7 linked regions of the Macaca fascicularis genome follow. The protein of the gene in region 7 interacts with the protein of the main gene of each other region in a pairwise test. Links are inferred from orthologs where the notes say so. Each region holds a gene or a part of one and is shown on either strand. Other genes may lie near its edges.

Region 1 (4,614 bases), on a different chromosome or scaffold from region 7:
GTGATGTGCAGCTCCTTTCTCCTCTAGCTCCTTACTTGGAAATCTTCTTTGCAGAAAGCCATTTTCGGAAAGCTTTTGGTGACCTTGAAACATTCTCAGGTGCTCTCTGATGTTTTAATAAATGAAACTTAATATATATAGGAGATACAGTTCCTCCTTCATACCTGTATAGTAAAAAAGCTGCAACATAAATACCTTTGGTTAACCTTTATATAGTATAGTATTTTAAATATTACCATAAACATGATAGAAATTAACAGAATGAAGGTTAACTGGGGGAAAAGCCCTGAGCAGGGAGGGAAGAGTTGCTGCGGGAACACTGTGGCAGGTCTGAAACCAGATCCTGGCTATCGAGCAGAGGGAAATGGCACATCTTTGGAGGCTTTTCTATCATGGTAATAATTGTTTTATTAGAATCAAAGCATCCCAGAGAGCACTTGCTCTTTCCTTCTCTCCAGTCCCCTTGACTCTCCCCTTAGCAGGGTTGGATGGGAGGTGGGGGCGGGGGGAGGGGGAACAGTACAAGAAAGCAATGCTATGTCCCTTTCTCCCATTGTCTGGCCCCCAAATGCAGTGCCATAAATATCAAAACAATGCTTGGTAATAGTCCAAAAGATTTAACTTGTCCCCAAATTCCTAAACGACCATTGGCATGTAATTTGGTTCTTGGCAGAGTGTAACTGAACAACTTGTAGACATGACATTTGTGTGAACATCTACAAGAGACAGGCCGTTATCACCACCCATTCAACACTCCAGCCAGAGGAAGAACAGCAAGTGGGGCCAGCCATCCAAGTTCACCTGAGCGCTCTGGGGTCTCAGCCCGCATCCTAAAACCTCAGTTCTGCTGTGGCCCGGCTACTCACCATTCTCAACTGTGTTTTCTTCACCATGCAGGTGATGGAAGCCCAGGAAAGCCCAGGGTTCAAGGCCAGTGACTTCAGCCTGTCACCCCCTTAGTCCGCATCGGGCCCACCAGCCCCCTCCCTCCCTGCCCCCAGCCCTGCCCGCACTGCCCCCCATTGCGCCCAGCCCTTCCTCACCCCGCGGGAGAAGCTGGCCTCTCATTCCTCACTGAGAGACTCGACGGGCGGCCCCACGCCAAGCCTTCCTCGCCCTCCCCTCCAGCCCTTTCTGAAGGGGAGGCAGCAAAGGTGAGCAAGCAACCGCCGCAAGTTTCGGCAGCTGCTGAGGAAGACTCATCGGTTTCTAAGGAAACAGAGAGGCAGCAGCCATTTTAGTGGCATTTGCTGTATAAAAAATATATAGACACTGGCATCCCCCTCCCCACTCGCGCTGCGGCGCCTGCCCTCCCGCCCCGCCTCAGAGGCCCCGGGATGAGGGTGGGGCCCCAGTCTCCGAGGGACGCAGCGGCCACCTGTCGCAGGTGGCCAGCCACTAGGGTCGCTAGCCCCAGTGCCCCCCAGCGGGCGGGACCGCGGGGTCCCCACCCCGGGGTGAAATCCCCACCCCCGGGCGCCGCAGCGCAGCGGCGGGCGGGCGGCTTGGCCCTCCCCGCGCCCGCGTCCCGCCCCCCAGGTCGCCTCCCTCGCCCCCCCGCCCCAGGCCGCGGGAGCCCGCGGGGAGGGCGGGCCCGTCGCAGCCGCGCTGGTCGCCAGGCGGCCGGGAGGAGCGGGGTCCGCGCGGCGGGCGAGGCGGGGGCGGAGGCGCAGGCAGCTCGAGCGCGGGAGGTCGCAGCAGCCGGGGACACCGCGCGCCGCCGCTCAACATGGTCGCTGCGCACGCTGCCCATTCTTCCTCCTCCGCCGAGTGGATCGCCTGCCTGGATAAAAGGTAGCTCGGCCGGGGGCCGCAGCTGGGGGCCGAGCTCTGCGGCGCTGCCCGGGCCCAGAGACCGCCGCAGCCTCACACCTGGGCGCAGCGCGGCCGGGCTGCGGGTGGCCGGGGTCCCCGAGCGGGGGAAGGGGTTGAGGTCCTCGCCCGGGAGACAGGAGGACAAGGACCCCCGCCTCTCGTGGGGTACCAGTGGCATGAGATTATTACACGTGGTGGAGAAAATGCAGCGCAGTAAGGGGAGAGAGCACCCACCTCTCCAACCCCCCGCCCCGCCGCGACTCCAGGCTCCGCTCCTGGGTGGGGGTTTATTTTCTCTTGGCATCACGGGACGGAAGAATCGATGCATACCCTCTCTGGCTATTCAGACCTTGCGGGGTATTAAGTTTTAAGGAGGGGTGGGGGCACCGGCAGGTACAGAGTAACATTCTTTTTTTTGTTCTCGAAATCAAAGTGTGAGGGACCCAGTGGAGCTGTCGAGTCCCTTGCTGAAATTCACAGCTTTCTGCCCCCGCAGTCGCTCGCTCAAGGTCTGTGTTAGAGAAGGTCATTTGGGAGGCTGCTTTCGTCTTAATACCTGCTTCTCGGGAAAAGACCTTTACGCTAAAAAAAAAAAAAAAAAAAAAAAAAAAAAAAAAAAAAAATTAAAACCGTACATAAAGCATATAACTCCCGACGACAGCTCTCTCTAAGGAGGATGTGTATGTTAACAGTGGATTGCAGTTGTTTCCAGGCTCTGACAGCATAATATTCTGTTTGTCCAGATTGCAGGTTTAGCAGTAAACATTACACAGTATGTTAGCAATTATAGCTTATTACCCTGATTAAAAGGTGATGCATCTGAACTTTTAAGAACTGAGCAAGAAATCTTGCAGAGTGAACTGCCTCTGAATTTCGGAGTTTAATGCAGAAGGGCAATGATTCACGTCTTGCAGCTATCTGCATGACATCTCTATTTGCATTTGTGTGAAATATTTTGTGTTCTGCCATATTGAAAAATTTTCAATTAACAGATTCGTAACACGATCAAACTTGAAAATCTTAAGTGTGACATGCTTTGCATACTCTATTATAGGCCTTTGTTGAAAAATATTAAGTAATTTGAGAAAAGCTAAATGTAGCTCATTTGAATAACTTAATATATCTGATAGTCTTGACTTTCAATTACCATACAGTAGCAAGATTTTTTGGCAGGCAGTGCCCTATTTATGTCTAAAATGATATGTACTAATATTAGAAATAGTTGCATGCAATAAATAGTAAGAGAATTAAAGTAATGGTTAAATCATACAGGATTATGTAGAACTAAGAGCGTTTGAAGGATAGAGGTTGTTAATGTGTCAAGTATCTAAATTTAATAGTTCAGGAAAAAGGAATTGTATGGGATTCAAGATCTTGCACTTAACCTATAAATAGTGGTGCTTCCTTATGAATGGAATGTTTAGATAATAGATGACATATTTCTATGTGTATAAATGCATGGCATGGCATTTTTTGAACAGTCGTTAATTCACTGGAAACCCATTAGTCAATAAGAAGTACTTATGGCAAAATCATAGAGCAATACTAACACAAGTGGGACATAGTCGACTCTCTCTTTTCATAATGTGTATCTGCCCAAATGATTTTGCTTGAAATGGATTTTTTAGAGCATGATGCCCTCACATAATGCCACCATTCATAATGGAAAAAAAAAACTAGGAAAAAAAAAAAACCCTTCACAGATACTGAGTCTAGCATCAGAAGAGTCAGATGAGTGGACAGATCAATAAGTTAAGGGTTTTAGGAACACAGCTGTTACCAGTTCTGTTATTGGACATGTCACTTTTACTTCCTTGAGTGTCTGAAAAATGAGGATAGGACTATCAGGGATAAGTGGACAAATGGAAGAAGAAAAAAAGGTGAAATACTTTGAAAACTGTGAGGTGCCATGTAGGCTTTTTATTTTGTGGTATTAAGAGAACTTTGCATGTTCTGCAGTGTTCATGCCAGAATTGATACCTGTGAGGAACAGTTTAGGGCAGCAATCTCATTGTATGAAGGCTGTGGGGGCCTTGTTTTGAAGGTGTGTTTTTCTCTTAGATTGTTTATTTATTTATTTATTTTTTAGGAAAGGAGAAAAATTGAGAGTGTTTATGGAAGTTGTCTAGGGAAGCCCCCTGAAAGCCCTGTTTAGTGGAGACAGTGCCCTGAACGTTTCTGAGAAATGCTATCTTGATACTCTTTTCCAGGCACTGTGCTGGGCACTGGGGATGCAACAAAATATGAGAGTTGCTTATAGGCTTGGAGGGTAGGGGAGATTGGTGGTGGGACGGCTGTATAAACAGCTAACCACAATGCAGTGGTAAGTGCTTTAATGGAGATGTATAAAGTGCTTGGGGAATGCAGATGAGTGAGTTATCGAGATGCTTCCATAGGTGTCCTGCGTAGATCTCAGAGGCTGAGAGAAATTTTACCAGGCAGAGAATAGGAAGGGCATGCCAGGCAGTGGTGTGGCATATGAATATGCTAATTTCTTCCCAACTACAAATTCCTGTTGTGACCAAATCTAGAATATAGGAATGTATGCTCTATTTTTATAAAAACTTTTTTATAATGGACATTGTCAACCCTGCACAAAAAAGAAAGAATAGTACAATGAACCCCTGTGGGTTCACTTGGGAATATGATACTGGGACCTTTTAACTGGGAAAAGGATGTAACTGGGAAACGTAGTTCAAATATATGCCTCATTCAAGTGACAACTGTTGTGGATGGTGAAAAAAAGAGAAACCCTGGGACTGGAAATAAAAAGGAGAGTTAAAAGAGGAAGTCTGCAGG
Region 2 (3,897 bases), on a different chromosome or scaffold from region 7:
GTTCAAGCAAAATACATTGAGTTAAAAAGAAATTGAGCAAGAGTATGCAAAAAAAGAAAAATACTGTGCTTTTCAGGCCCTGTTGTCCTCCGAGAAAAGTAAATCTGAGTTCAAGACCCTGACTTCTTCCTACAGAAATTGAAGAGAATGCGGCTTCGTTTCTCTGTGAGGATCCATCTAGAGTTGAATTATTTTGTCAAAATAAGGAGCATTTTCCTAGTTAGAAAAACTCAAAGCACTCAGAACATGATAGGATAGATTTCCTAAAGGAAATAACCCCTCCAGAAATTTGAGGGCTCTTGAGTACACAGTTCTAAAGTAAACATGTTGGCTGTAAAAGTCAGTATACAGACCTTCTGCAAGGCATATGTAACTTTTATAGCTCAAAATTTACCATTGATTTTTCTCTCAAGGTTTTTTAGACCTAAATTAATTTTTAATATACTGACCTAAGATGCCCGGCTATTTTTAGATAAAACTGTGAAATATCCCTTAACTTTAAAGTAGGCTGTGAGACATAAGATAGTTAAAGCATTACATTGCCAGCAACCTACATGAATGGAGGTTTCGTGCCCACTGGTCTCATGCCAACTGCACATAGAAATGCTGGCGGGTAAACAGCACTAAGGGGACTTGGGATCCTGCCCAGGGGCTCGCTCTGCTCCACTCCAAGTCAGATTCACAGGTGCCAGCTCCACCCAGGCCCCTAATCGCGAGGCAGATGAACACATCAGCAAATGGCACCCTCTAGAAAGGGACCAGGACCACTCATGCATAAGGCACAGGAGGAGCAAACTTGCCTATTTGGAAGTTTTCAGGTTCAACATTGTTTAGTTCAAAACTCAGCACCTGGCAGCCTGTCCTCAGGTACCAAGCACCTAAGTAGCACTGGGGGTGAGGGGCTGGGGTCATGCTGAGCTGTTCAAAGAAGGAAAGCCCTTCCCTCTACAACTCCCTCCTTGAAATGAACACTCATTTTCTGAGCTTTAGTAATACTTTGCCTTCTCCTCTGTTCTAGTTCTTATCAAGTAACATGACCAAGTCAGTTTTGAGTAAAGTGCCCCCATTAACTGTGCAGTCTCGGAACACAGAGACCTTGAGGTACTGCCCTCTGAGACCATAGTACCCAAGACGGGGCCCGACATGAAAAAGAACTCAGTGAATTTTGATGAATAATGAAAAATGAAGGATAACAGAAATGAAAGATATGTTTAGGGGATGAGGGAACCTAAGAGAACATTGTCCTTTGTAACCAGGAAAAGATATGTTTGATGAAAAAAAGAAATGGGTCTCAAATGTTTATTTTGTGAGATAATAAAATGATTGTTGTCATTTTAAGCCACTAGCTTTTGGGGTGATTTGTTACAGAGTAACAGTCTCTGGAACAGGTCATTTTGCCTAGCAGTGGGTACTACCGAAATATAAGCAATGGGTACTTTCTTCCTCCTGGGATGCTTGGCTGTTCCGTGGGCCCCATGTATAGAATCCTTCTCTGTTAAAGTATGTCTTATGTCTGGAGGGAAATTTTCTACCTTCCAATGTGCTTCTAGGTGCAGGAGGAGTGGGCAGCAGGGCTCTGCAGGACCCAGGGTGGGATGCACAGTGAGAAAGATGGACCAAGGGCTCCTTGAGGCGGATAGCCCAGAGTGGGCTAAGAGGCCATCTGTATGAAGGCTGCTCACCTGGTCCACTTAGCAGGTGGCAAAACTTATGAAGGAATAGGGATATCAATGAGCATCCTCAGTAATCTTCTATTGACCTTGTAGTGCTTGTCTGTAGAGCCCAGAACCCAGAGTTTTTCATCCAGAAACACATACATAACTTCTCTGCTTTAAAATAGCACACGGTTTGTTTTTGGTTGTATTTGGGGCTTTGCAGTTCTTCCTTGTTAATTATCAGTACTACCTGCTGTTTGTGACTGGCCTAGGCTTATGTCCAAGGGAACTGAGGCCACCACCTACTGATTCCCTATGGCCTTCCCTCCTTGTGGTCTCTGCTTCCCTTTCCTCCTTGTGTCCATTCTCTGCCTCCCACACACCCCTGGTGACAGTTGGCTCTGTGAAGAAACCTCTTTATGTCTCTCGAAAATAAGCCCAGTCATGTTCTATTTTTAATGGGTTTTAAATGTCTGTTCTGCAAAAGAAAAATCCCTGCAAAAAGAAGTCAGAAACTGGAACCTCACCCAGGGAGGGGATAAGTGTGGGCCCAAGACGAGGGCTGGTGGCAGGAGAAACTAGGTCCAGGCACCCTCCCTCTGGCCCTACTGGGCAGCAATGAAGCTGGATTCTCATATCTAAAGGAACATGGAAGTTCGTGTAGCACCGCCTGTGTGGGGAGAGAAACTGCTGTCTGCCTCAGTCTTGTTCCTGGGGGCAGTGAGCAGAGATGCTGCAACACTAGCGTCAGGTGGTGCTTGTTGACCAACTCCAAGCCCCATCGACTGAAAGCCACATGTCACCAACCTCACCCACAGGAAACAATGAGGTGCCTATACCTGAGTACCTGCTGTGAGAAAGCCTCCCCTAATGCCTGCCCTTGACAGTCAGGCCAAACCGCTCTCCAATGGGTGAGGCTCTAACAACGCCCTGGAGCACCTGTGGTGCTGTCATTAGGAACCTACCTCGTCGCCCCAATTCCGTCCCCTCCCAACACCTGACTGCATGTGTTCTCCTTTGCAGTTCTTCCCTTATGGAGACGCCTCCAAGTTTGCCCAGCATGCCTTCCGAACCTTCGACAAGAATGGCGATGGCACCATCGACTTCCGAGAGTTCATCTGCGCTCTGTCCATCACCTCCAGGGGCAGCTTTGAGCAGAAGCTGAACTGGGCCTTCAATATGTATGACCTGGATGGTGATGGCAAGATCACCCGAGTGGAGATGCTGGAGATCATCGAGGTGAGGCCTGGGGCGTGGTTGGCGGGTGGTGGGCACAGAAGGAGACCCCACGGCAGCCTCCTAGGTGCAGGGCCTTCGTGGTTCCTTCTCTCTCTGCTTGAGCCCTGCCAGCTGCACACCACGCCTGGACTTCTCCCGCTTCTGTTCCCACTGCAGCACAGTGCTGGGGAGGTCCCAGAACCAAGCCTTGGGGCCCGTACTGTCATGACAGTGGCATTGTCATCTGCCATTCACTCACTACCGGATCTCCTGTGAACCTGTCTTACTGGGCACAAAGGATGTCATGGGCTCAGCTTCTCTTGTGTTTGGCATATCTCTGCTCTGCCTCACTCCAGCTGCACCTAGTGGGGTTCCGAGGCTGTCAGGGGCTCCCGGGACATCCTTCCAGGTTCTGATCATTCCACAGCAAGCAGGCTTTGCCCATTGTGTTTGTGAGTAACCCAGGATTCCTCTGCCACGCCAGCCCCTGCATACTGCACTCCCAATGTGAAGGTCTTCTTGGTTTTCCTCTCTCTCTGCCCAGCATGTCCTCCCCTGGCCTTTGGGGGCTCCTCCCTCACTTCACTTCCATCTCCGGTCCTATCCCACCTCCCACAGAGGCCTTCCTTCCCACATCCCTTCCCAAATATGCCCACTCCACCTCCACACCAAAGCAATCTAACCCTTACCAAGAGGGGTTTTGTCCCAACGTTTGTCCCTGCCCCAGATTACCTTGTTCAGTGGAATATACGGCAGAATGCAAGCTCTGTGAGGAGGCTCTGCCCTCACGGCTGCATGCCCAGCACCCAGACCCAGCCTGGAGCCTGGCAGGCATGCAAGAGCAGATGCATGATTCAGTAGCTTTCCTTTGATTGACTGTCTTAGCATGGATTCCCACCCCTGCACCAGCCACTCTGACCAAGGAGAGAAATTTACCACTTGCTGAAGGTAGACCCAGGTGCTCCATCCTGGAGCTGGGGGGATGCCCCATCCAGACACCAGGAGCTGAGATCAGGCGGGATGG
Region 3 (4,647 bases), on a different chromosome or scaffold from region 7:
CTGGACCCATAATTTCCAGCACCTCCTACCCCGCCTCTACCCCAGATTTAACCTACAAGCGAATGGTGCATCCATCACCCATCTGGTGGCTCAGGCCAGAGACCCAGATGTCCCCTTGATTCCTACCTCCCTCCTCTCCCCCTTGCTGAGTCAAGAGCAAGAGCTGCCAGTTCTACCTCCCACTGGTGTATAGATACATCGCCTCCTGGAATCCGGAGAGACCAAGCCCCTTTGGCATTTACCCCCTCTCCCCTGCCACTGGTCTAGTCTATACCTCGATTATGTTCTTTGCGTACTGCCTCCTGCCAGCCTGACTTTCCCAGTGAATTTTGGGGATTATGACATTTTGACAACGTACAGGATAACATATCTCCATCTCACCAAGGTCCTTCCTGCTCTGTCCTTGGTTTCCCCTCCATTCCCACCTCTCATTTCCCTTCCCTGCCGCTTTGCAGACTCACCACCCCTCAGGCCCCAGAACACTTTTCAAACCCTTTAGAAATGGGCTGTTTTCTCTTCAGGAAGGCCTTCCCCTGCTGTACACCTGGCAACCTCCAAGTCATCCTACAAACTGATCAGGTGACAGCCCTAATCCCCTCTCTCTAACCTGCAGCCCTGGTGGCTCCTTCTCCTGGATGTGCTCACCATAGGTTTTATAGGCCATCATTGCAGCAATTGTGCATAATGGCTAGTTTGTGCTTCTCTCCTCCACATTTGCTTATAAGCACTTTGATGCCTAGAGCATAAGGTTTCATCTTTGTATCTTCCAGTTGTCTAAACTGGGGCCTGGTACACAGTAGCCATTCAAATGTTTGTTGCATGAATAAATGAATGAAGTCAAGGTGTTGATACAAGGATCAAATCCAGACCAACCCCACCGTCACTTGTTCTCACTACTAGGCTGAACTGTCATGATGAAGGCATTAACTGGAAGCTGTAGGACCACACCTTATAAAGTTTTCCAAATCCCAAAACCTCTCCCTGCCTCCTCTCCAGTGACAATGTGGCTACCACTCAGGGCTCCAGAATAAATCAGTCTCCAAGTGCCTCAAAGCAATACAATTGACTGAACTCATCAATGGCCCCCATTGTTAAGTCCTAACCGAGAAGAGAAAGTACTGTGCAAGATAAAAGGTAATTGTTTGGAGGTGACTTTGAAGTTCAAAGGTCTTGTTATCAGAGCAGGCAGATGGTGCACCTACACAATAGGTATAATTTATCCTCATATTCCAATGAAACACTTTGGCCTTTGGAGGGCCCCAGCACAGGGATGGCTGTGTTCTCTTTCATGTGGCAGAACGTGAAGATCCTCCACCCCCAGGAATCAGGTTCAGGGAGATCTGAGACCTGGTGCCCAGTGGACAGGACTGCTGGTTTCTTCCCCAGCCCTGCCTCCATCTGGGACCAGGCTGCCTGCTGGGTCCTCTGAGCAAGGACCAGCAGATATCTCCACACAATGCCCAAGTGTCTCCTCAGGGGGACCCGGGGAGGGTGTACTGAAATGTGCCAAAGTTTTGTTTCCCGGGTTTGGTTCCTGACTCAACTGCCTTTAACAGCCCGAGTGAAAATCCTCCACCACCAAGAGCACCCTCCAGCTTTTTGCCCCCAACAAATCAGTTGCCAAAGAACTGAGTGCTTATGCAGACATCTGCTGCCAACAGAAACGTTTCAGGCCACCCGTTTCCATTCCTGCTCCTTCGTGTTTCCAATCGGAAACTGCGTGTCCCCGGATTTTTGTATCCCTACACTAGATTTTATTTTATTTTATTTTTTATTTTTTTTGAGATGGAGTCTCACTCTAGCCTTGGCTGGAGTGCAGTGGCGCAATCTCGGTTCACTGCTACCTCCACCTCCCGGGTTCAAGCGATTCTCCTGCCTCAGCCTCCCAAGTAGCTGGGATTACAGGCGTGTGCCACGACGCCCGGCTAATTTTTGTATTTTTAGTAGAGACGGGGTTTCCCTATGTTGGTCAGGCTGGTCTCGAACCCCTGACCTCAGGTGATCCCTCCGCCTCGGCCTCTCAAAGTGCTGGGATTACAGGAGTGAGCCACCGCGCCCAGCCTCCTTACGATAGATTTACAGGGCGATTAGGCAAAAGGCAAGACCACCTGGCCGAGACTAGGAAGCAAGCCTGTCACTCGCCTGCCCCTTCATCTTTTATCCATTCATGTTCATCCCTGAGACCTTCTTAACGAGTGTCTCAAGCCCTTCTCGCCGGAAGTGGGGGATCAGAGAGAAACTGCGAGAGGGTAGGGAGGAACTCATGTCACTAACAGGCCACTGTGGACAAACTCTTCTTTTGTGCACTCTCTCCCTTCCCTTCTGATGCAACCCGGGGGAGGGGGCGGGCCCTCGCCGTCCTGGCTACCGCGGCCGCTGCCACGTTCTCGCCTCCCCGCGAGAAACCACCCAGGCCGGGGCGCGGCGGCGATCTCCACGCTGGGGTCCCGGGGCCCTCCGGCAACTCAGCCTGAGCCCCGGCGCCGAGTCGGGCAGGCCCCCGCCCTCGGGGCCGCGCGCGCGATTTCGCTTTCGCTTTGGCGGTGGTATCCCGCGTGGCTCCCGCCCAGACGGCCCCTGGACACCTGCGCCGCCCCCCGGGGGGACCTGGCCGCGGCCTCACCCCAGCCTCTCCTTGCTCTCGTCCGGGGTGAGCTGGTCGAAGGTCTTGGAGTCCTCCTTGCCCAGGAAGGCCTCGTGGTCGTACTGGAAGCTCTGGTTGTCCTCAGGGGGCCGCTCGCCCAGCTCCGAATCGGGCCGCACCACGCGCTCCTTGCGCACCGTGGGCTTGGCCCGCAGAACCCGCGGCGCCAGCACCAGCGCCAGCAGCAGTCCCAAGGCGAACCCCAGGCGGCGGCCACGGCCACCGCGCGCCATCGTCCGGAGGAGAGGGCGGCCGGGAGGGAGGCGCTGAGCAAGCGACAACAGCGGCAGCTCGGGAATGGGGGCTTGGAGCGCGGCGACGGCGGCGGGGCTGGGGCCGGGGCCGGCGCGGAGGAGGGGACGGCCCAGTCCCTCCGCCAGTGCCCGCCCTGAGCCGGAGCAGAGAGGCGCGTCGGGGCCTCGGGCTGGGAAGCTGCGGGCGGTCCCGCTCACGCGCCCATTGGTCGCTGCGCTGCCGGGGGAGGCCGGGGCCGCGGAGCCACGTCGCCAGCTGGGGTGGTGGGCGCGGGGCTAATGTTTCGCCTCGGCCCCTCCCCGCGATCTCGTTGCTAGGGGCGGGCCCGGGCGAACTGGGCTGGGGACTGGAGAGCTCGGAGGAGGACTGGGAAGAACTTCTTTGTCAAGCAACAGATGTTCAGGATAAAATTCCCTCTGACTTCCTACAGTTCCGGAAAACTGTAAGGAAGGAGGCACTGCCCCTCCTCGACTTCCAACTGACCCCTAGACCCTGCTCTAAAATGTGCTCTGAAACCCAGTTTAACCCCATTTAGCAAAATTTGGAGTCTGGTTACAAACGCGAGCCTGGAAGGAGACCAAGACGGCTAAGTCCCCTGGAAACGAGGGTCCCACTGTCAGTCGTCAAGGAGGGTCAAGCGGGAAACTTCTATATGACCGAGAGTCCCTCTAAAGGGAGCAGTACCGTGCGTTCCAGCTGCCAGGGGAACGCAGGCCCCACGCTGGTAGATAGTCCTGTTTCCCAAATGAAATCAGGATTTTAGATTTTTATGTTTTATTTCTAAATGTTGGCAACTCATTTTACAAAAGCACTAGTTGGATCCAATCTTACCTGTATTCAGGTGGTAATGCTACCAATACAGATATCTGTCCCATCAGACTCTCTGCAGTGATGGAAGTGTACTCTATCTGGTCTGTCCTGTAGGTCGTGGCTGTTGAGCACTTGATGTGTAGCTTAGTGTAAGTAAGGCACTGAAATTTTAATTTAAATCTAAACTTAAATTGCCACACCGGACTAATGGCTACCCTTTGGACAGTGCAGGTCTCCAGCAGTCTCAGCCTTTTGAAACTCATTGAAAGCCATGATCCTCTTCCAGAAAAATGCACATACAGCTACTGACACCGGTGCTTGATTAAAGAGTCGGAGGATTCATGGATCTTTTGAAGCCCCACCTATGAGCCCCAGGTTAAGAATCCCTAGAAGGCTGGGCGCGGTGGTGTCTCATGCCTGTAATTCCAGCACTTTGGAAGGCGGAGCCAGGTAGACCACCTGAGGTCAGGAGTTCGAGACCAGCCTGGCCAATATGGTGAAACCCTGTCTCTACTAAAAATACAAAAATTAGCCGGCCGAGGTGGCAGGCGCCTGCAATCCCAGCTACTCGGAGGCTGGCGCAGGAGAATCGCTTGAACCTGGGAGTGGAAGGTTGCAGTGAGCCGAGATTATGCCGTTGCACTCCAACCTGGGAAACAAGAGAGAAACTCCGTCTCCAAAAAAAAAAAAAAAAAAAGAAAAGAAAAAGAAACCCTAGAAAACTGAAACCATAGTTGAACCATGACAGCTAGATAGCTGTACTCCCAGAAATTTCCTCCATCTTGCCCTGCCTCCCACCTCCATCCCTGATGTTTTCAAAAAGATCTGGGATGTGCTTCTTGCCCTTGCAATAAAGATGTCGTTGCAGCATAGATGCAAGTCCCTTTCTTGTGACGCCCTCTTTCAGTCAATTAATGAATCATTACTCTCTTCCTACT
Region 4 (3,897 bases), on a different chromosome or scaffold from region 7:
CTCTTTAAATGATTAAAATCTTGCTCATTTTAATGAAATCTTAATTGAAACATGAACTGCCCACTAAACTAACCAACTATTCAATGGCCAAAGAATTAGTTCAGAAAAGTCACCAAACAAGCAGTACCAACAACAACGCTGAGAGGTAGGAATCTGATTTCTAGAACTGCTATGTTGTAGTTAAAATGTTCAGCTTAAAAAAAAACAAAGAGAGACGTAAAAAAGTGACTCAAACACAGGGGGAAAAAAAAATACTATTCCTGAGGAATCCCAGAAGTTGGACTTGGTTTATCTGAGAGATTATAAACATATTTAAAGACTTAAAAAGAAATCCTGTCTAAAAATGTTAAGAAAATTATGAAAATGGTATTTCACTAAACAGAAAGTCAATAAAGACACTGAAGTCATGCAAAAAGTAGAAATTCTCAAGATGAAAAGTAGAGTAACTTCAATATGCCACTTACAGTAATGAAAAGAATCAGACAAAAGATCAACAGAAGACTTGAACATTATAAACCAACTACATTTAACAGATGACTACAGAAAACTTTACCTAATATTAAGAGAATAAAAATATAGACATAGGAGTACTTTTTCAATGTGGTTAAGCAATGGTGATGAGTTCCATGGATAGAAATCAAATGTATTTTACAGACCTATAGCATGTAAACAGTTTCAACACTGCAGATTAAACAGTTACCCCACCACTGTCTTTGTTATACACTGCTCACTTTAAATTTATAGCCTGTACTTTACAACAGTTTGTACCGTAACTACTTGGTACGCATATCTTAACTTTACACTACCAAACTATAAAACTTTTAAAGGAGAACCAACTTACTCAACTGCATCAACTAGACTTGTGGTTTCCCAGATGTGGATTTCAAGAACTTTAAATTTCAAAATATTAATATTAAAAATAATTTTAGGTAAATGAGTCTCCAGATTACTAAATTTTCCTTTGCCAAATTAGAACACTAATAAAAATTACTACCTTATATATTATCTTTCTCATTTAAAAAAAGGTTATTAAAATATATATTTAAAAAGTAAACAAACAATTGTGTTCCATGAAGAACATCCTAACTATGTTATCTTCTAATGTGACTTCAGAGCATTGAAATTTCAGCCTGCACCAATACTATTTCACAGACTGGCATTTGGGAACTACAATGTCTGAAATACCTCGCTGAATGCCTGAAACACCATTGGCCTTTAAATGGATTAGGACAGAATGTTCTACAGTACTTGCCCAAGCCTGCAAGAAAATATTTACTGCACATTAGCAATGAAAACAAAGAATTAAAAAATTTATGTCTTTCCACAAAAATACATATACCCTTAACTATCTGTGAGAATTATTTCAAATTTGAAAAATACTATAGTCTTAAACACAACTGGCCCTAAACAAATGATGATGGCAGGCAGAATGGTGAGAAATCATCCTGGGCTGGAACGGGTCAAAGATGCTAGTATATAGTACCTTCCAAACATTAACAACTGCTTAAATACAAAGTCACAACACAAATTTAAATGTTATTTTTACCTGATAGTCTCGTAGACCAACCAATATAATGTCTGAAGTATTTATCCAAACCTGTAAGACATTTACTGCAGATTATTTTAAAAATAAAAACTTTCATTAAATTTTTAATTTAATAAAAATCAAAAGAAAAAAATGTTTAGTGAATCTAAACATTTTTACTAAATGTACAAAACAGGTATACTATTCACCTAGTGTGAAAAAATAATAAATTAATTAGATGCCAGGAGAGGTGTCTCATGCCTATATCAGCACTCTGGGAGGCTAAGCCAGGAGGATTACTTCAGTGCAGGAGCTTGAGAACAACCTAGGCAATGTAGAGAGGCCTAGACAACACAGTGAGACCTTACCTCAAAGATTAAAAATAAATTAGGAAAAAAACACTGTAATATGTATCTGTAGTATAGTTGTATGCAGTACATAGTTAAGGTACGGCATGAAAAAACTACGGTATCCAGTTGAGTTTGTTAAAATTTTCTTACTTAGAAAGTTAAAAAAATATATAACAATTTTATCTCAATTACTCAAGAGTTTAAACTGCCAAAAGATCCTTTGTCTCAGAAATTGAGAGACATGCAATTGTCCAAAATACAGATATGTCTACATAAAATGACTAAAAAGCGCCCAATCTACATAAATACAGCCCCGTTCTTGTCTTAATGTTTGTGTTCCTCAAAAGATTTATGGTGAAATTTGAATCCCCAAGGTGATGGTACTAGGAGGTTGGACCTTTGCGAGGTGATTACATGATGGGGGCTAATCACTCAATAATGGAATCTTTGGTTTTAAAAAAGAGGTCCAAGGCAGCTTGTTCATCACTTCTACCATGTGTGGACTAAGCCAGAAGGCACCACATAATAATCAGGAAATGGGTCCTCACCAAATGTTAAATAGATTTCTCTTTCTCCAAAACTATGAGAAATAAAATTTCTGTTTTTTATAATCTACCCAGTCAATGAGCAGCCCAAATGGACTAAGAGAACCCCTAAAAGTGCCACTAATTTGGAAAAGAAAGAATGTTAACATATCAAAAAGATTTTTTATTTTTATTGCTTTCTGAGATAGAGATTCGCTCTATCACCCAGGCTGGAGTGCATTAGCACAATTTTTAGCTTATGGGAACCTTGAACTCCTGGGCTGGGCTCAAGCAATCATCCTGCCTTAGCCTCCTGAGCAGCTGGGACTACAAGTGTATGCTGGCTACTACTTCCACAGAGCTCAGCCAAAAAAAAAGTTATTATTATTTTAATTAAAAATCTGAGTAGTAGAGACTTTTAATCAGTGTAAGTTATAAAACTACCTGATGTGGTATTATAACAAATAGATTGTCTAACATATTCCATATTCCAATTTTCATAGTACCACCTAAAACTATTTCCCCCAATCCAAAACCTAATGAAGGGATATGCACCGATTAATCTCTTTTAATCTAAAGTAAAAAGGAAGATTTTTCATTCTTTCACAGCATTAACATTTAATTGAGTCAAGACCATTTGTGTTATATATTAGATTTGTCTGGTTTCTTCAATACTAAGGTAGACATTTCTGGCAGGAATACAACAGAAGTTAAACAAAGAAATTATTCTTTAAAAGTAAATCTAAAAGTTATCAAAGACTTTTTCTTTATTCACATTGTCACATGGATCATTGTTACATAAATTATTTTGGGAACTCACAAAAATAAATTGCTTGGACCATGTATTTAAAGCAGAGACTTTTTTTTACAGCAAACTTTTATGGAAAAGAAACCCACACACCTACCTTTTTTCTCAATTTCCCTCTGATATGGCATAACCTCTTTACACCATCAAAACACAGTGCTTCCAATCGTCCATTTCCCAACATTTTGATTACCTGAGCATACTCTGAGGAGAGGAGATTAAAAAAAGGTTGAGATCTTGTTCAACATTTGTTAAAATGTAATGACTAAAATTTAGCTATTGGGCCAGGTATGGTGGCTCATGGCCGAAATCCCAGCAATTTGGGAGGCCAAGGCAGGTGAATCACCCAAGGTCAGCAGTTCAAGACCAGCCTGGCCAGCATGGTGAAACCTTGTCTCTACTAAAGATAGAAAAATTAGCTGGGTGTGGTGCCAGATGCCTGTAATCCCAGCTACTCAGGAGGCTGAGGCAGGAGAATGGCTTGAACTCAGGAGGCAGAGGTTGCAGGGAGCTGAGAAAACACCACTGCACACCAGCCTGGGTGTCAAGATCAAAACTCAACAACAAAATAAATTTACCTGCCAATAAAAGCTTCATTTACTGCTAAATTGGATCAAACTACATACAAAGAAAAACAGCATAAAACAAACAGCAAAAAGCCTGAATAATTTATTCAGACAGTAGTATTTCAAA
Region 5 (4,373 bases), on a different chromosome or scaffold from region 7:
TGGGGACCGGCGCTGTCCTCCTCCATGGTGCTGAAACTGGGAGGACCAGGCTGTGTGAGCAGCGAGGCCTGGGGAAGGGCAAGGGATGAGAGCAGGAGGGACCCCGCTCGGGAGTCAGGGGCCCCGCCCGGCTCGCCGTGGGACCTCAGAGAAGCTAATTACCTGATTTCAGGTGCTTTCTTATCTTTTAAATGGGACCACAGGTCCGCCCTCCTGTCTGTACCGAGGGTCTGTCCCATCAGCCCCAGTAACACGGTTTGGGAAGGAATTGGAGGACCTTGTTGGATTCCTGCTCTTGGGAATGGTGCCCTACCCCCTCCCCTGCCACACTCACACACACATACACCCACGCACACGCGCGCGCACAAGCGCGCGCACACACGCACACACACACCATCGAGGCTCATTGGTCTAGGGAAGGAGCCTACAGTCCAGAAGGGGGCGATCCCATCCACCACATAAGGTCCAGTATCTTCAAGAGCCAGGAGCCGCAACAACTGGCCTGCCTCTCTCCCATTACAAAGACTGGAAAACTGAGTCCCAGAGAGGGGAACACCGACAGTAATAACCACTGAGCTCCTGCCACGTGAGCGGCATTATGCTAGGCGCTTTGCATGCACGATTTCGCAAATCCTCACCAGGACCCCCGCAGACAGCTATTACCCCCATTTCTCAGATGAAGACTTCGAGGTTCAGAGAGGGGTAGACACCTGGACGCGATCACACAGCGAGCCGAGGTCGGCGGCAGAGCTATCACCAGGTTCCCTGTGTCTCAGCCCAGGCTCCCACCCTACCTCGCCCTCACCCCCAGACCCAGGCCCCGCCCTGCCGGTAAAGTTAGGAGCCTCTGAGCGCGCTGGCCTGGCAGCGGGTGCCCTGGCTTTTCTCCCTCTCCCTGCTGGACGGTATTTCTGTGGCTGAAGCCCGTTGGGTCGTGCTTTGCTGGAACTGCGGGAACCCAGTCCCTGGGGTGGCTCTCTCCGCCCCATCCCGGCCCCGCCCCCGCACTCGGGCGGGGGAAAGTTGCCGGTACCGCTTTAAAAATCCCAGCCTGGGCAAAACTTTGATGATAAATCAAGCGGTAGATCCCTCCGCCGCCTGCTCCGGGCGGGAGGAGGGAGGGGAGGAGGGAGCGGAGGAGGGAGGCGGGAGGAGGGAGGAGGGTGCCGCGGCAGCGCGGCGTGGCCTTCCGCGGAAGGGAAGAGTCCCGCAGTCAGAGGCGGACGGCTGGGCGTGCGCTCGCTCCCCGCAGCCGGGGCTGGGCCGGAGCCAGGCGAGGGCTGGGAGCCCGGCCGGGCCGGGGACAGCGGGCGAGGGGCAGCTGCCGGAGCCGGGCAGCCAGGCCGCGCAGGTCAGGGGACGGCGGGTGCGGGGTCTGCGGTCTCCGGGGCCCCGATGTGAGGCGGCGGCGCCCCCGGCCCGAGCGCGCACCATGGGGGCCCCGCTCGCCGTAGCGCTGGGCGCCCTCCACTACCTGGCACTTTTCCTGCAACTCGGCGGCGCCACGCGGCCCGCCGGCCACGCGCCCTGGGACAACCACGTCTCCGGCCACGGTGAGTTCGGTCGCCGCCACCGCGGGCGTCCCTACCAAACCCCACCCCGGGCCGCGCCACTCCAACTTGGCCGCCCCGGGGCTCGAACTGGCGGCAGTCGTGGCGGGAATCCCGGGGCGCCCCCTGCCGGCGCAGTGGACCCGCCCTGGCACCCCGACCCTGTGGAGGAGGGGGCACCCGGGGCGCACCCCCGAACCTCCTCCCCCCACACTCGCGCGGATACGCACACCTCTATGGCCACACCGATATGCACAGCCGCGGACACACTCAGACCCACAGTCGCTGCTTTCTCACACTCACAACTCCTACCCTGCACATCTCCACACACCTCAGGTCCCCCTCCTCACTGCAAGCCCTTACACTTATGCCCACTACGCACGCACATCGGGCACTGCGCCGGTGGACTCACTCTGCCAGCTGGCGCACACGCTTCGCCACAACTCTTGCCTGCCCACCTGCAGACACACTGGTGCGCGCGCGCACCCACACAGACACACACATACACACATGAACACAATTTGCTCGCCCACTCCTCCCCGCTCATCTGCCTTTACTCTTCGTGGGTTTAACTGCACAGAGGCCCTTGTCCTCTCCCTCTCCGCACCCTCCCCTTATACCACTGGAAAGGTCCTTGGGAGCAGAAGACCCTGTTTCTTGAGAACTGTCACCTGAGGCCACAGCCTCCCTGTTGGGCGGGTGGCACCTGGTGGAAGCCCCTCAGAGCCACCGGAGTAGTTGAGGTTGCTGCTTGCAGCCAGAGGCATGGGAGTGGGAGTGGGAGTGGACGTGGAATGCCGGGTGCTTTTGTCTGCCTCTGGGGGTGGGCAGGAAGCCGCTGCCATCCTTCCATAGGGTCCCCCCATCCTCATCCTCGGCCCTAGAGGACTGAAATGTGGGAAGTCACAACTCCAGCCGCTGTGGGAGCCGTGGAGCAGACAAGCATTCCCTGCACTGGCTGGCTGACTGTCAGAAGCTCCTGCTAGCCCCAAAGGAGCCCAAGTTGGCAGCAGAGTTGGACTGTATGAGCCTGGCAGCTGTGGGGGCTCCCCCTGGCCCCTGTGAGCCTGGCTCTGGGATGGGAGCTTGAGCATATATGAAACCAAAGGAGACCTTTCTTCCATGCAGCCCTTCACTAGACAGACTCCCAGCCCTGTGGGGGAGGCTGCAGCCCCAGTGCTGGGCACTGTGGGCCCAGGGCTGCGGGGAGGTTTGCACAAAGGCCAGATAATTGGATGATTTATTCTGATGGGAGTGAGTGAGGGGTGTGGGGGGGTAGATAATCAGGGAAGGCTTTGCTGGGGTGTGACACATGAGTGGGATTTCTCCAGTGGAGAGGGGGGCTTCAAAGCCATCCTCAGGGTCTCTGCTTTTGGGGAACCATGACTCCCCACCCCCTTCTGCCTCACCATGTTTGGTAGTAACCGCTGTGTGCATCATTTATGTACCCTTCGTACCCCTCACCTGATTTCTACTGACCTGGCTAGAGCGGTGGTAAATAAGGAAAGGGTTCTTTTGATCCTCAACTTACAGATAGGGACACCAAGGCTCAGAGAGATGAAGGAAGTTGCCCAAGGTCACACAGTAAGAGAGTGACTGAGCCAGGACAGGCCCCAGGGTCTGTCGGGCCAAGACAGCGCTTTTTTTCCAGGACATTCATCTCCTTGTCAGATTCCCTCCCATTCTAGGGAAACGGAATTCCTCCCTCTCCACCCCTCCTCTCCTCGCTCTGTTCAGTTCCTTGGCACAGTTGGAACTTTCAGTAGGAGGGGTTTTCATGGAAGGGCTTCCCTGAGTTTGCAGTCCCAAGGGGTACAAGGAATGGGACTCTGAGGCTTATGGTCGTTCTGTCCCTAGAGCACCAGACCCCAGGGACTTGGGTGCCACTCTGTCATTCCTGAGGCCCCAAAGTGTCTCCCCCCATGGAGAAGCAGGGTCTGTCTGCCCTTTGTGTGACAGTCTTTACCTGCCCCCTGGTGCCAGGTAAGCTGAGGGGGCACAGCTCTGCCCAACCAGCTGTAATCTCCCCTCTGCACCCTGGAGGGTCAAGCTAAGGCCCAGGGCAGGGGCTAGATGAGAAGGAGGCACCCCTAGTTGCTGGGGAAACTGGCTTCTCTCCTGAACCCCTCGTGTGGCTCTGGGCAACTGAGCCACCCCTCTGGGTCTCCCTGTGTCCCTAAAGAAACAAGGAGGCCAGGCTGCTCTGCAGGGGCCAGGCTGCCTTCCCCCGACATTGCTAGGTTCAAAGTCACCAAGTAGTGACTGCCAAGGAGCCCCCACAGCTGCCCCTCTGCCGGGCCAAGCACCCGCCACCACAGGAAGGGTTTGGAACCACTCACTTAATCACAAAAAGAAACTGTTATTAATGATAGTGAGACGCGGCGAATAAGTGGGTCATGTCTAATAAGCCATTTGTGTTCAGGAGGAGAATACCAATTTGATAAAAGCTGTGTGTGCTGAAAAAGCTCAGAAATTGCTGTTTAGCAGATTGGAGCCTGATCGTTTCATTATTCCTGGGCTCCGTGTGTCCTCAGCTGATTCAGGAAATGTGGCCCAGTCGGGAAGGTGTCTCTATGTCTGGGGGTGGGGGGTGGGGGCTGGAAGCAGGGACTCCTGGGGAGGGGCACATTGACCCCAAGTGCTTGGTGGCTGCTCACCCCTCCAGCTCCATCTGAGCCCAACCTGGCCGCCGGGCTCCTGCTTTCCACCTGCCTGCCCTGGAGCTTGTCACAGGGAGAGCCTACGGTCAGATGGGTCAAAAGGGACATCTGTTTTGCTTCCCATCTCCCTCCCAACTCCACGCAATGCACTTGGAAGAGGGCT
Region 6 (4,426 bases), on a different chromosome or scaffold from region 7:
AGAAATTTCAGTATATTTATATGCTGATAGGAGCAATTCAATTGAGAGGGGAAAAACTAATGATGCTGGAGGGCAGGTAATGGTAGGAGCAAAACCCTTAGGAATGTGCGTGAAAAAAATCCAGGTCACTGGTAAAGGTACTGGCCTTCCTAGGCGCAGGGACACTTTATTCATAGTAACCCAGATGTTCTATGCAGATAAGGGTAGTTTTGATGGTGAGAAGGGAGTTTATTTGATATCCTTCATTTTTTCCATGAGGTATGAGACAAAGTTGATTAGTAAAAAGTGGGGGTTGGGGAGGAGGTATATAGAAGGCTTTTTTTTTTTTTTTTTTTTTTTTTTTTGAGACGGAGTCTCTCGCTCTGTCTCCCAGGCTGGAGTGCAGTGGCCGGATCTCAGCTCGCTGCAAGCTCCACCTCCCGGGTTTACACCATTCTCCTGCCTCAGCCTCCCGAGTAGCTGGGACTACAGACGCCCGCCACCTCGCCCGGCTAGTTTTTTGTATTTTTTAGTAGAGACGGGGTGTCACCGTGTTAGCAAGGATGGTCTCGATCTCCTGACCTCGTGATCCGCCCGTCTTGGCCTCCCAAAGTGCTGGGATTACAGGCTTGAGCCACCGCGCCCGGCCCAGAAGGCTTTTAGTAGAGACAAAAAAGAATGAAATAATCCTTCCATCAAGTCTACTTAAATGTCAATTTAGTGGATAAAACTCTCCCAGAATTAAGTACATCTCCCAAACCCTTCTTCTTTCTCAATGGACCGTTTGCTCCCTTCTGGTACTCAAAAAATAACATTTGAAATTGTATCTTTGTTCGTTCACTTGTCTGATTCCCCATTAGAGAACTACAGAAGGGCAGGGACTTTGATTCCCCAATGTATATTTAGCCGTTAGCACAAAGCCAACAGATAGTCACTAAATACATTTTTTTTAAACAAAAATGTTAATGAACACCTTCAAAATTTTGTCTTACGCCACCTCGCAAAAATTCTTGTTTGTGCAAGTCACATTTCCTTTCTGAGCTTTCATTTCTGAATCTATACCCTGGGAATTATCTCTTCCTTGCCTACCTCACCGCGTTATCAAGAGGAGGATCTGAGCCAATAATGCTACAAATGCTTCATTAAGGGCCCCTTAAATGTAACGGATTTCTATTTTTAGCCCACTGGTAGCCTCGCAAGTAGCAGGTGCTGAAAAAGCCTTGCTTATTAGGGGTTGGAGGACAGCATTGTTTCTGTGACCGTAGGCGTCGAAGCTATGCAGAAGCGTTCCACGGACCGCGGAGAGATGGGGCTCAGGCCAGCATCCCTCTCGCCCCTGCCCTTCCCGGGAGGCGCTGGCCGAGCGAGGATGGGGGTGCTGGGAAGCCGAGGGGGTAGTAACTGTCAAACCTCGCCGCTTGGCGCCATTATTTAAATAGAACGTGCCTGTCTCGCAGTTGTACGTGTCCGGGGCGGGGCTTCGAGCGCCCTAAGCGGGGCGGAGGCCAGAGGCGGGCTGGGAAGGTGGAGGGGCGGGCCGGGGCGGGGCCAGGCCGGCTAGAGGGGCGGGTCTAGCGGCGGCCCCCGGCGAGGTTCACTGCGCTTGCGCTGACAGACGCAAGATGGCGGACAGTGCGGAACTAAAGGTAAAGCGCAGCTCGAATTCACTTCTAATATTCGGCCGCGGAGACGGCGCCTCTGGTGCCTGGGGGGATGGGTCCGACCCTGGGGGGCCGCTCGGGCCTGACTCCACCCGGGCCTGGAGTTGTAGGGAGAGAGGCGCGCCCGGTCTCAGCAGAGGGGGCCCGCCTGCGGCGGGCCGCGGGCCCCGGGTGCCTCGGGGGCGCTGACGGGTCGTCCCCGGCGTGTTATTGTTGTGGGCGCCTCTGGCGGGGGTGGCGGGGGAAGAGATAGGGAGTCGGGAGGTAGGGGCTGCAGCTGTCTCCTGGGCTCGGCTTTTTCACCTTCTAGTTAGCCTCCCCGCCCCCCATGGGGAGCTGGGGCTGGGGGCAGGGTGCTCTTGTAGGGGGGATTGGGAAAGCTCCCCGTGGCCGCTTCCTCTTCCTCCTTTGCAGTCCCGGGCTCCTGTCAGGCGCTCTTCTCAGACCCCCGGGAACTTGGCTCCGGCCGCCCCGCCCCTCCGTGGATCCCTGTCGCCCCCGCCCCGGACTCGGCTCTCCCCGGCTGCTCGCTTTCAGGAAGCGCCTGGGGTGCCCCGCTTGAGGGAAGCGCGATCCCGGGGCGATAGGGTGGGGATCTGGGGGAGAAGCTCTGGTAAAGTTTAGCGAGCCCCGGGCCGGCATTGGGGTTCGGCTGAGAGGTAGCGGGGGAGAGTCAGCCTGGGCGGGACGTTACTCTCTCTCTGATTCCGGGCAGCCGAGGGGAGAAACCCCCTCGAAGAGTGTGTGTTTGGAAGCAGTGTTGGGAGAGGGGGATGTAGCTACCTCTCTCCCTTCTCTTGCCTTGGCTGGTGTGGAGGGTGAGAGGAGCCTTTGGGGGTCTCTGCACACACCATGATGGCGATGCTGTAGCTGATGGAGGTGAATGGTTCGTGTTTATATCCCCCCATTGCCTTTTGTTTGTAGGGACATCTTGCTGGCCATGTTGATTTGAACGAAATTCTCCCCTCATGCTACTCTAACCCCCGATAAATAGAACGTTCCTCTTAACTGTACCAATTACTCACGCCTCACGAAATTAGATGAAAGGGTGCCCCCTTTTCCCCGCTTTTCTCCCACCCCAATCTTTACCTGATGATGGCTTCTTTACCGAAGCAGATATACCACTACACAAGCAGTTGGGGGAGGGGGGGTGGAACCCTTATGATTGGATTGTGACAAATGGGGCTCCGTTTGAATAATTTTGGTTTAGTAGCAGGCAGTTCTTAACTAACGCGTATTATTTCGAGGCTCTGAACGCGATCTTCTCTGTGGCTTCCTGTGTGTGTGAACCCAGCAGCTGGTTATGTCTCGACCCAGAGAACTGACATCTCTGTCAGAGTGGAGATTGGGATATACAATTGTAAATCTTTGGAGAGAGTCTTCTTTTTATAATTAATACAAATTATTTAATTTTTTTCTCCGTTATAATGAAACGACAACTTCTGGAACAACCAAATGCCAGATTTGATTCTGTAGAGTTTTTCCTGTGGAATATCCTCACCGAAAGATCTTTTCTCCTAATAACTTCACAATGTTTACACTCCAAGATTTAGGTATTAAAGTATTGGCTTTGAGTGTCATTCTTTTAAAATGTACTTATAATTACAACTTTATTTAAGGGAGAGCAGATTTAGAATGGATGGTTTTGGGTTTTCTCCAGTTTCAAACTATTGACTGAAATGAGAAAGCCTTAGGAATTTGAATATTTGGAGATAGTTAACCCTTGAAATAAAAAAAAAGCACACAACTTTAAGACATGTTTTCTATGATTTTTCTCTTATGATAGAGTCATCATGTTGCTGTGATCTTTGCCTTCTAGTATTTATTTTGTTAGGAGTTCTTTTGAATGATAGCTAATCAGTTGTTATACATGGACCATAGAATAAAGCCGAAAAGCTTGTGCAGACTATATTGTCACTCTTGATGCTGTCCAAAGAAACTAGTATGGAAAGCACATGCTGAGAGATTTCCTTCTTTGTTCTTTCTCATTTTAAGAAAGTGCCTTTGGGGATGGATCAGATCCCTGGTGTGAGTCTTGTTAGGTAAAGTTTCTCTTTACGAAAGTGAACCAGTATCAGATAAACACCAAACACTTGAAGAAATGTTATTTTTCTAAAATTAGTCTCGTTTTTTGCTCTCTCCCAAATCTACTTGAGTTTTTCCAGAGGAAGTTTTTTTTTTCTACTTTTATGTTCCTGTTGTATAATTTTTCAAATTATAATAACTGTTTTGACATGTTGGTATGTCATTGTGTGTGTCTGAGACTTTGAGGAGCTGTGTGATAAATTGCTTAGCTGGTGATAACTGCATTAAAAAAATTTGGTTAATACTTTATTGTGGTTAGATTTGCTGTTCTTTTTTTGGGGGGTGGAGGAGGTGATCTCAGGAACGCCTACCATAGTTATTTGAGAATGTGTTAAAAAAGAATGTGTATATATAATTTTCTGTGCAGTAAGGTTTGGCAGATACTCCTTTTGGAAATGATATTTTCGGAAGGCTTTTTGTTTGTGATTTTTTGGAGGTAAATATGCATTCCTAATATACGAAAAATCAGTAAGAAGAAGAAAATCTAGTTTTTTTGAAATTTTAAATGGGAATAGAGTACTTCAACTGTGAAGCTTTGCATAACATTCAGTGACTTTTCATTATCTTAGGTTTCAGCCCCATACTTCATTTTGCTGTGTATTCATAATTATTTTCCTCATGGCTTTTTTAGTGAGTCCTTTTAAATCTATAAGAAATCTGCAAAGATCAGATGGGAAAAACGGATAGATCTTTATCCCCTG
Region 7 (3,897 bases):
GTTTCCACAGGTCAGCGTTGAAGTTTTGGTAGAGTATCCTTTTTTTGTGTTTGGACAGGGCTGGTCATCCTGCTGTCCGGAGAGAACCAGCCAGCTCTTTGATTTGCCGTGTTCCAAACTCTCAGTTGGGGATGTGTGCATCTCGCTTACCCTCAAGAACCTGAAGAACGGCTCTGTTAAAAAGGGCCAGCCCGTGGATCCCGCCAGCGTCCTGCTGAAGCACTCAAAGGCCGACGGCCTGGCGGGCAGCAGACACAGGTATGCCGAGCAGGAAAACGGAATCAACCAGGGGAGTGCCCAGATGCTCTCTGAGAATGGCGAACTGAAGTTTCCAGAGAAAATGGGATTGCCTGCAGCGCCCTTCCTCACCAAAATAGAACCCAGCAAGCCCGCGGCCACGAGGAAGAGGAGGTGGTCGGCGCCGGAGAGCCGCAAACTGGAGAAGTCAGAAGACGAACCACCTTTGACTCTTCCTAAGCCTTCTCTAATTCCTCAGGAGGTTAAGATTTGCATTGAAGGCCGGTCTAATGTAGGCAAGTAGAGGCAGCGTGGGGGAAAGGAAACGTGGCTCTCCCTTATCATTTGTATCCAGATTACTGTACTGTAGGCTAAATAACACAGTATTTACATGTTATCCTCTTATTTTAGGTTTCTGTTCTAACCTTGTCATTAGAGTTACAGCAGGTGTGTCGCAGGAGACTGGTGCATATGCTTTTTCCACGAGTGTCTGTCAGTGAGCGGGCGGGAGGAAGGGCACAGCAGGAGCGGTCAGGGCTCCACGCATCCCCGGGGAAGAAAGGAACCGGGCTCCACAGCGCCTGCTTTCTGTAGCGGCCCAGAAGCAGCCAGGGGCGCTGACTCCCGCTAGTGTCAGGAGAAAAGTCCCGTGGGAAGGGTCCTGCAGGGGTGCAGGGGTGCATGCATGTGGGGGTGCACAGGTGCTGTGGCGGCGAGTGAGGGTCTCTTTTTCTCTGCCTCCCTCTGCCTCACTCTCTTGCTATCGGCATGGGACGGGGTGTTCAGAGCAGTGTCCTCCTGGGGTTCCCATGTGCAAAATCAACATCAGGAACCCAGCTTCAGGGCATCGCGGAGGCGCGTCAGACGGCAGATTTGGAAAGTTAACCATTTAAAAGAACATTTTTCTCTCCAACCTGTTTTACAATAAAAGCAACTTTTAATTGTATAGATATATATTTCCCCCTATGGGGCCTGACTGCACTGATATATTTTTTTTTTTAAAGAGCAACTGCCACATGCGGGATTTCATTTCTGCTTTTTACTAGTGCAGCGATGTCACCGGGGTGTTGTGGTGGACAGGGAAGCCCCTGCTGTCATGGCCCCACATGGGGTAAGGGGGGTTGGGGGTGGGGGCGGGGGAGAGAGCGAACACCCACGCTGGTTTCTGTGCAGTGTTAGGTAAACCAATCAGGTTATTGCATTGACTTCACTCCCAAGAGGTAGATGCAAACTGCCCTTCAGTGAGAGCCACAGAAGCTCTTCACGTTGAGTTTGCAAAATCTTTTTGTCTTTGAACTCTAGTACTGTTTATAGTTCATGACTATGGACAACTCGGGTGCCACTTTTTTTTTTTTTCAGATTCCAGTGTGACATGAGGAATTAGATTTTGAAGATGAGCATATATTACTATCTTTAAGCATTTAAAAATACTGTTCACACTTTATTACCAAGCATCTTGGTCTCTCATTCAACAAGTACTGTATCTCACTTTAAACTCTTTGGGGAAAAACAAAAAACAAAAAAACAAAAAAAACTAAGTTGCTTTCTTTTTTTCAACACTGTAACTACATTTCAGCTCTGCAGAATTGCTGAAGAGCAAGATATTGAAAGTTTCAATGTGGTTTAAAGGGATGAATGTGAATTATGAACTAGTATGTGACAATAAATGACCACCAAGTACTACCTGACGGGAGGCACTTTTCACTTTGATGTCTGAGAATCAGTTCAAGGCATATGCAGAGTTGGCAGAGAAACTGAGAGAAAAGGGATGGAGAAGAGAATACTCATTTTTGTCCAGTGTTTTTCTTTTTAAGATGAACTTTTAAAGAACCTTGCGATTTGCACATATTGAGTTTATAATTTGTGTGATATTCCTGCAGTTTTTATCCAATAACATTGTGGGAAAGGTTTGGGGGACTGAACGAGCATAAATAAATGTAGCAAAATTTCTTTCTAACCTGCCTAAACTCTAGGCCATTTTATAAGGTTATGTTCCTTTGAAAATTCATTTTGGTCTTTTTACCACATCTGTCACAAAAAGCCAGGTCTTAGCAGGCTCTTAGAAACTCTGAGAATTTTCTTCAGATTCATTGAGAGAGTTTTCCATAAAGACATTTATATATGTGAGCAAGATTTTGTTTTAAACAATTATTTTATTATTGTTGTTATTAATGTTATTTTCAGAATGACTTTTTTTTTTTCTATTCAAAATCAAATCAAGATTTAATGTTTGGTACAAACCCAGAAAGGGTATTTCATAGTTTTTAAACCTTTCATTCCCAGAGATCTGAAATATCATTTGTGGGTTTTGAATGCATCTTTAAAGTGCTTTAAAAAAACAGTTTTATAAGTAGGGAGAAATTTTTAAATATTCTTACTTGGATGGCTGCAACTAACCTAAACAAATACCTGATTTTTCTTTTACCCCATTGAAAATAGTACTTCCTTCATTTCACAAATTAAAAAAAAAAAAATCTGGTATCAACCCACATTTTGGCTGTCTAGTATTCATTTACATTTAAGGCTCACCAGGACTAATGATTTTTGTAAACCATTTTCTGGGGTGTACCAAAAACATTTGAATAGGTTTAGAATAGCTAGAATAGTTTCTTGACTTTCCTCGAATTTCATTACCCTCTCAGCATGCTTGCAGAGAGCTGGGTGGGTTCATTCTTGCAGTCATACTGCTTATTTAGTGCTGTATTTTTTAAACGTTTCTGTTCAGAGAACTTGCTTAATCTTCCATATATTCTGCTCAGGGCACTTGCAATTATTAGGTTTTGTTTTTTCTTTTTGTTTTTTAACCTTTGATGGTAAGAGGAATACGGGCTGCCACATAGACTTTGTTCTCATTAGTATCACTATTTACAACTCATGTGGACTCAGAAAAACACACACCACCTTTTGGCTTACTTCGAGTATTGAACTGACTGGATCCACTAAACCAACACTAAGATGGGAAAACACACGTGGTTTGGAGCAATAGGAACATCATCATAATTTTTGTGGTTCTATTTCAGGTATAGGAATTATAAAATAATTGGTTCTTTCTAAACACTTGTCCCATTTCATTCTCTTGCTTTTTTAGCATGTGCAATACTTTCTGTGCCAATAGAGTCTGACCAGTGTGCTATATAGTTAAAGCTCATTCCTTTTTGGCTTTTTCCTTATTTGGTTGGTCTTTCCCATTCTGGCCAGAGCAGGGCTGGAGGGAAGGAGCCAGGAGGGAGAGAGCTTCCCACCTTTCCCCGGCTGCGGATGCTGAGTGCTGGGGCGGGGAGCCTTCAGGAGCCCCGCGTCTGCCGCCACGTTGCAGAAAGAGCCAGCCAAGGAGACCTGGGGGAGGAGCCGCAGTGTCCCCTGTCACCACACGGAATAGTGAATGTGGAGTGTGGAGAGGAAGGAGGCAGATTCATTTCTAAGACGCACTCTGGAGCCATGTAGCCTGGAGTTAACCCATTTTCCACGGTCTTTTCTGCGAGTGGGCAGGCCCCTCCTTGGGGTCTGTGTCCTTGAGACTTGGAGCCCCCGCCTCTGAGCCTGGACGGGAAGTGTGGCCTGTTGTGTGTGTGCGTTCTGAGCGTGCTGGCCAGTGGCTGTGGAGGGGACCACCTGCCACCCACGGTCACCACTCCCTTGTGGCAGCTTTCTCTTCAAATA

What was found.
Region 1: the proteins of ATXN1 (region 7) and RAPGEF4 interact in binary tests that used the Homo sapiens proteins (3 or more experiments, as listed by UniProt). The link is inferred for Macaca fascicularis from reciprocal best matches to the Homo sapiens genes ATXN1 and RAPGEF4.
Region 2: the proteins of ATXN1 (region 7) and VSNL1 interact in binary tests that used the Homo sapiens proteins (3 or more experiments, as listed by UniProt). The link is inferred for Macaca fascicularis from reciprocal best matches to the Homo sapiens genes ATXN1 and VSNL1.
Region 3: the proteins of ATXN1 (region 7) and RCN1 interact in binary tests that used the Homo sapiens proteins (3 or more experiments, as listed by UniProt). The link is inferred for Macaca fascicularis from reciprocal best matches to the Homo sapiens genes ATXN1 and RCN1.
Region 4: the proteins of ATXN1 (region 7) and eukaryotic translation initiation factor 1A, Y-chromosomal interact in binary tests that used the Homo sapiens proteins (3 or more experiments, as listed by UniProt). The link is inferred for Macaca fascicularis from reciprocal best matches to the Homo sapiens genes ATXN1 and EIF1AY.
Region 5: the proteins of ATXN1 (region 7) and VSTM2L interact in binary tests that used the Homo sapiens proteins (3 or more experiments, as listed by UniProt). The link is inferred for Macaca fascicularis from reciprocal best matches to the Homo sapiens genes ATXN1 and VSTM2L.
Region 6: the proteins of ATXN1 (region 7) and PIAS1 interact in binary tests that used the Homo sapiens proteins (3 or more experiments, as listed by UniProt). The link is inferred for Macaca fascicularis from reciprocal best matches to the Homo sapiens genes ATXN1 and PIAS1.

The regions. Positions count from the first base shown.
Region 1 is NC_088386.1:68,274,044-68,278,657, forward strand, and holds the start of RAPGEF4 (rap guanine nucleotide exchange factor 4), read left to right. Parts: upstream 1-1,571; 5' UTR 1,572-1,729; coding exon 1,730-1,794; intron 1,795-1,872; coding exon of another isoform or gene 1,873-2,143; exon of another isoform or gene 2,144-2,169; intron 2,170-4,614. Other genes in the region: uncharacterized protein, read right to left, coding at 36-164, 1,044-1,209, 1,873-2,143.
Region 2 is NC_088387.1:104,615,032-104,618,928, reverse strand, and holds part of VSNL1 (visinin-like protein 1), read left to right. Parts: intron 1-2,678; coding exon 2,679-2,894; intron 2,895-3,897.
Region 3 is NC_088388.1:33,483,623-33,488,269, forward strand, and holds the start of RCN1 (reticulocalbin-1), read right to left. Parts: upstream 2,944-4,647; 5' UTR 2,878-2,943; coding exon 2,624-2,877; intron 1-2,623. UniProt on the Homo sapiens protein: May regulate calcium-dependent activities in the endoplasmic reticulum lumen or post-ER compartment.
Region 4 is NC_132903.1:7,975,275-7,979,171, reverse strand, and holds part of eukaryotic translation initiation factor 1A, Y-chromosomal, read right to left. Parts: intron 3,409-3,897; coding exon 3,305-3,408; intron 1,598-3,304; coding exon 1,547-1,597; intron 1-1,546. UniProt on the Homo sapiens protein: Component of the 43S pre-initiation complex (43S PIC), which binds to the mRNA cap-proximal region, scans mRNA 5'-untranslated region, and locates the initiation codon. This protein enhances formation of the cap-proximal complex.
Region 5 is NC_088384.1:94,018,958-94,023,330, forward strand, and holds the start of VSTM2L (V-set and transmembrane domain-containing protein 2-like protein), read left to right. Parts: upstream 1-1,209; 5' UTR 1,210-1,432; coding exon 1,433-1,553; intron 1,554-4,373.
Region 6 is NC_088381.1:44,795,581-44,800,006, forward strand, and holds the start of PIAS1 (E3 SUMO-protein ligase PIAS1), read left to right. Parts: upstream 1-1,589; 5' UTR 1,590-1,601; coding exon 1,602-1,625; exon of another isoform or gene 1,626-2,513; coding exon of another isoform or gene 2,514-2,519; intron 2,520-4,426. UniProt on the Homo sapiens protein: Functions as an E3-type small ubiquitin-like modifier (SUMO) ligase, stabilizing the interaction between UBE2I and the substrate, and as a SUMO-tethering factor. Catalyzes sumoylation of various proteins, such as CEBPB, MRE11, MTA1, PTK2 and PML.
Region 7 is NC_088378.1:156,606,748-156,610,644, forward strand, and holds part of ATXN1 (ataxin 1), read left to right. Parts: intron 1-10; coding exon 11-541; 3' UTR 542-3,897. UniProt on the Homo sapiens protein: Chromatin-binding factor that repress Notch signaling in the absence of Notch intracellular domain by acting as a CBF1 corepressor. Binds to the HEY promoter and might assist, along with NCOR2, RBPJ-mediated repression. Binds RNA in vitro.